Kluyveromyces lactis: one gene and its partner. The protein of the gene in region 2 purifies or fractionates together with the protein of the main gene of each other region. This does not show direct contact. Links are inferred from orthologs where the notes say so. Each region holds a gene or a part of one and is shown on either strand. Other genes may lie near its edges.

Region 1 (2,590 bases), on a different chromosome or scaffold from region 2:
TTTGCTGGGTTACAGACAGCAGAAGAGATGGAAAAGCAGATCGCAGAAAAGGAAAAACTTTCTATGCAAAAATCAGGGCTTCTCAAGAAGAATCAGAACACAGTATATAGAGACGAAAAAGGTAAGGTAATAGATGGATACGAAGAAGAATTGAAACTTCGAGAAAAGGCTAATTTGACAGCGAAAGTACGTAAGGAAGAAGAACTTAAAATACGAAATATAGGCGAAGTACAAATATCAAAACTTGATCGCAAAACTGAGAAAAGTGCATTATTATCAACCGAAGATCCATTGAATCAAGGAAACACCCTGCGAGGAACGAATACGTCACTGTTGGGTCGAAGGCTTTACGAGAAAAACTTTCCAGAAAATCGGTTCGGTATCGTTCCCGGTTATAGATGGGATGGAGTTGATAGATCAAATGGGTTTGAAACTAAGTGGTTTGCTAAGAGTCACGATATCGCTGATCAAAAAATAAAGGAACAAACAACAAACCGGGAATTTTGAAAAGTTGAACCTGAAAGTGTCTCTATTCTTATATACTAAGCATTATTTACTGAAGTGATATAATATTTACTGTTAATAGTCCATTCAAACCAACATTCAGGTTTCAGTTTTTTTAGGAGAATTTTTGAAATGACCACCCCTCCCGGAGGCACCACGACCACGATTACTACGGCCACGACGACCGCCACGAGAATGAGAAGATCTCTTTGTATCATCTGAGTCTTTATTCTCCACATTTGCTGTACGTCCATTCTCATCTCTAATTAGGAGATTCTTAAGATTCCTGGATGCCTCTTTATCTAATGGTGGATTTTGTACAGGTTGTGACTGAGGAGGAGCTGCATAAGCAATATGCTCATTATTCGGAATGAAAGGCGGCTGCATCATAAGAGGATGAGGAATACCACCAGGAACCATATGTGGGGGAACAGTGAAATTGTAAGGCAGAGAATTTGCTGGAGGTGGTTGAATTTGCTGTTGAGAACCTGGTTTGATTTGGTTCAAGACGGCATTGAACACGTTGTTAGCAGCCGAAGGATTTAAAGTGTTAACTGCTATTTGCGGAGCGGATCCAGATTCGGTATTTGATTCCGCGTTATCCTTCTTGATATGATTTAACAACTCATGGGCTTGCTTTTTTTTGAGTTCCTCCACTCTCTTCTTTTTTGCGAGGGCGACTTGCTTATCATTAGGAACTGCTTTTGGTTTCTTATCAGCACTCTTCGATGCCTTTGAATGATATACCAATTGTCTATCAGACAAGTTTAATAAGAAGGAAGAGTCCAATCCCAAACCACGTCTGGTCTGCAACCTACCACCAAAGTTGTTTCCTGCAATTATTTCATTGTCAAATAGAACTTGGATTGAGACGTTCTTGCCAATTGAAGTGTAGCCAACGACAGTACCTTTGCTGTGAAGTGGAACCTTGCCTGAATCTTGAATGTACATTACCCTATCACCTAAGTGGAACCTTTGGGAGCGCAATAGAACATATGACGATTCCGCATTTAAGATTGCCTCACGTGGGACCTTAGCTAATTTCTTCTGCTCGCTTGAATCTGGTAAAGAAACGTATTTTATGATTTCAGATTCAACAGCTGCCATCGAAGCCTTGGTTAGCGAATCACTTTCCAAAGACACCACCACGAATGGTTTTCTTGCTTCTGAGAGCCAATCAGCCACTGTTTTCAAAATGGAATCAGCTTCCGCGCTAGATTTGTTAGGGAAGAGATCAGTGATCGATGGAATTGCTTGTTCCTTCGAGTTAGAAAGTTTCGCAAAGAACTCAGGGAATGTAGATCTGAACTGCTCTAACAAACCAAGAGCGACGTCAGAGTATTCCCATTTGTTTGAGCTGCATCTGGCATAACCGAGAACTTTTTGATTTCTTGCTTTGAATTTGATCATCAAACCGACGTTATGGCTTTTCTTTTTAGAATCATTGACCAAATATCTTGAAGTAATTTTTGACAAGAAGAGAGGGTGGACACGAGCTATTTTTGAAAACACTTGTGTTGGGTAGAATCTCAAGGCTTGAGAATCCAATTTCGCTCTAACTTTTCCGATGTTAGGCTCTGCTCTGAGAGAACCCTTTTTGACTGTAAGTTTTAATCTAGTCTCACTATTATAACCATCAACGGTCGCCTCCCCACCATACGCATAATCACCTAAAAACACAACTTTTGAACCTTTTGGAAATTCTTTATTAATTGGTAACGGCTCTTTTTCAATATATCTTTCGTCCTTATTTTTTACGTCCTCTACGATTAATTGTAAAGGATAGTATTCGATAGTTTCATTGAAAGACTTAGAATAGGAACCATCAGAGTTTCTCACCAATCCATTTACTGGAACCACTTTAGCCAAAGCAGAAATGTCATCCAAAAGAATGGCCTTTGTCCTTTGATAATTCGATTTGAGAGTCATCTTCAACTCTCTAAATTCTTTCCTTTCAAAATCCTGAGGCTTTCTTTCAATGACCTTTGTTAATTTGCCTGACTTAACTCCTTCATACACAGTTTCCTCTGTAATCAACGACAAAAGTTTAGATTCTCTTAGAAACGGCCATCTTGAATAAACAATC
Region 2 (3,114 bases):
AGAGCTTGGCTATTTCTATGCTTAACTGTGGGCATGAGGGTCACTTCGAGTGTTTGAAAAAATGGTTTTTTGACGAAAACATGGATGTATGCCCATTGGGATGCCCAGCAATCTTATTCTGAAGTCAATTTCCTGTTAATTCGGATCTTTTCTATATCAAGTTATGTTTTTGTAAGAACTCTTTAACGACAACCCAATACCCATCTTGTATTATCGTGTCGTTATGGGAACCGATAGGGAACTCAATAAATCTTTTGCAGCTCGAGGGACATAGTTTATACAATAATTTCATATGAGGGGGTGGGACAATCTCATCTCTTAAACCAGCAAGAAACAAGAAAGGTAAAGTATCATCTTGTATGTTGACAATTTCCTGTTCAGAATCCCAGACTTCATGACACATGAATGCCACATTCTTCAGCATTGGGAAAACGTATGGGATAACTTTGCGAATGGACAGGAAAGTATTTTCTAGGATAATGGCATCGCAGATATCGGTAAATTTTCTAGCAAGATAAATGGCATTAGCGCCACCAAGGGACCTCCCATAAAGTATTAGCTTCCTTGATTTATGAAATTCACTGTTTGTCAAATGGTCCATGACGGTATCTGCGTCTATCTTCAATCCTCTCTCCGATGGGAACCCTGTTGATAACCCATATCCACGATAGGAATACAAAAAAATGGACAAATTAAACTCATTATAGAGAAACCTAGCAACGGGCAGGAAATATCCTATATTCCCCGCATTGGGGCAAAGAACAAGCATGGTTGCAGTCGAATTTTCATTCCTTATATCAAATGCTTTCAATAGAACACCATCCGAAGTCGTTAAAGTGAGATCTTCATAAGGCAAACCGTATTGATCTGGCGTATCTACATGGTCTCTAGCACCTTGTGCCCAAGATGGGTATATAAGCTTGTTTTGGTACAAATATAGAGCGCCCAGTGAAGCAGAAACAATGACAGCTGCGCTTCCGAGTACCATTTTCCCAATTTTGTATAAATGCATACTAGAAGGAAAATGTCGCTTTGGCAAAAAGAAATATGTTACGACAAACTATCACCTTGATCAATAAACTTTCTATTCGATGGATATAGTGACAGCAGCTACGTTAATGAGGTGCTTGTCATAATTAAACTCCCTTTAATTTACATAATACCGATATCCTGCTAAAACAAGCCAGCTACGGTTTGTATTTCAATTCGCATGCTTCGAGAGCATGAAAAACTCCAGAAAACTCAATATTACCCGTCCTTTGAATATAATCACGTGTATTGACAACTGATTCATGTTTTACCCGGACAAGTCGTAACGTCATTACCCTCTCTTAGAAGAAAGAAAAAAAAAAATTTGTAGCAGTGACAGCATAGTACAGGCAGCAGCTGCGAAGGTTTTCAATTTTGTTAACTATGGGAAGTTGGCAAATGGAAGAAAAAATGAAGTTGGATTAACGAATGTGATATCAAAGATTGGATTGACTCTCTGCGCATGTTTAAGATTTTTCGAGTGTTTTTTACTCGTAAATGTATCTGTATAAGACCAGAGGTTACCTGATCAATTTTGAACCTGAAAGACATCGATCTTACGACCAAAGAAGAATATCATGTCCGTTGAAGAAGTTACTCAAAAGACCCAGGATTTAACTGTGGACGAAGCCAAGCCAGCTACTGTTTTATCTGATCCTAAGGAATTTCAATTGAAGCATCCTTTGAGTAGCAAATGGACTTTATGGTATACTAAGCCCCCTGTGGATAGTTCAGAATCGTGGTCTGATTTATTGCGTCCAGTGACCAGTTTGGATACTGTCGAAGAGTTCTGGGCTATTCAAAATGGTATTCCAAAGCCATTCGATTTGCCAATCAAATCTGATTACCATTTGTTCAGAAACGATATCAGACCTGAATGGGAAGATGAAGCCAACTCTGAAGGTGGTAAGTTGTCGTACCAATTCAAGAACAAAAGACATAACATCGATGATTTGTGGTTGAGAACTCTATTGGCCGTTATTGGTGAAACCATCGACGAAGAAGAATCAGAAATCAACGGTTGCGTCTTGAATGTCAGAAAGGCTGTTTTCAAGATTGCTTTGTGGACTAGAACTACCAACTTGAACGCTTTGACTAACATTGCTACCAAGTTTAAGCAAGTTCTACAACTTGGTGAAGGTGAAAAGTTGGAGTTCTACAATCACAGAACTTCTAACTCAGGTCACGCTCCTCCAACCGCTCTATTGTAAATTAGCACATCCCTCCTCATTTCAACACTCAATAAATTAAATCAACATTTACCAAACACTGTCGATGCAAGGGATTATGAGTATAGTTAGAAATCTGTTTTGGACAGGCCTCATCTGATCGCTGTGAATCATCTCAATTTACCTTGACCACATACCCAAAGGGAAAAAAAGCGTATAAAGGGAATCTTTATGGTGCATCACAATCTCGGTTTGTGACAGCACACTTTTGGTATTTTAAAATGGTTGGATTTCACTCTTTCGACATCCATTTCGTGTCCTGCTAATCATAATTCCTTCGACTATTATTCGTAAACTCTTTTTTAAATGATATGTATAAATAATTAACGTGTCTGTTTATTCTTTATTTAAAGTCCTCTCCTGTGTAATTATCAGTGGATTAGTATCTCCACATTTCATTCTGTCAGTTTAGTTTATGAATCTAACGAAAAGAGATATATCCCAGAAATCATCATCTATTATTTCTTGCAAATAGAACCCGAAAATGACAACCAGGTATAATAATATTAAAATGCTTCCTTTGAAATAATTCGATTTCCCCTCTGCATATAAGTAAGTGAATAGAAACACTGACACTACTGATGCAAGTAAATCCCATCTGGGAAACACCATCGGGAACATTCTATCTCTAATGCTAATTTGAGTCAAATCTTTACCCCAAACGTATAGCATAGAGAATATGACTAAGGCTGGAATTTGTAACAAGCATACTTGCAATGCATAAGCACTACCGATTTCCATTGAAAGTGCAACATTACCATTGACTGCGAAAGAAATAGCATTTAAAAATTCTGTGGTATTAGGAACAAGAGCAAAAATGGTCAATCCCAAAAATTTTGGATTCACAGCTGGATAT

The links. Proteins that work in one complex are often made in the same cells at the same time.
Region 1: the proteins of CDC33 (region 2) and XRN1 purify together in Saccharomyces cerevisiae (affinity purification with mass spectrometry; 3 studies listed by BioGRID, with this or other methods). This does not show direct contact. The link is inferred for Kluyveromyces lactis from reciprocal best matches to the Saccharomyces cerevisiae genes CDC33 and XRN1.

What each region holds. Positions count from the first base shown.
Region 1 is NC_006042.1:2,093,610-2,096,199, reverse strand, and holds the end of XRN1 (chromatin-binding exonuclease XRN1), read right to left. Parts: coding exon 604-2,590; downstream 1-603. Other genes in the region: BUD13 (Bud13p), read left to right, coding at 1-507. UniProt on the Saccharomyces cerevisiae protein: Multifunctional protein that exhibits several independent functions at different levels of the cellular processes. 5'-3' exonuclease component of the nonsense-mediated mRNA decay (NMD) which is a highly conserved mRNA degradation pathway, an RNA surveillance system whose role is to identify and rid cells of mRNA with premature termination codons and thus prevents accumulation of potentially harmful truncated proteins.
Region 2 is NC_006041.1:1,876,071-1,879,184, forward strand, and holds CDC33 (translation initiation factor eIF4E), read left to right. Parts: upstream 1-1,607; coding exon 1,608-2,240; downstream 2,241-3,114. Other genes in the region: RTC1 (Rtc1p), read left to right, coding at 1-122; KLLA0_E20989g (uncharacterized protein), read right to left, coding at 152-1,012; VNX1 (calcium/hydrogen antiporter), read right to left, coding at 2,667-3,114. UniProt on the Saccharomyces cerevisiae protein: Recognizes and binds the 7-methylguanosine (m7G)-containing mRNA cap during an early step in the initiation of protein synthesis and facilitates ribosome binding by inducing the unwinding of the mRNAs secondary structures.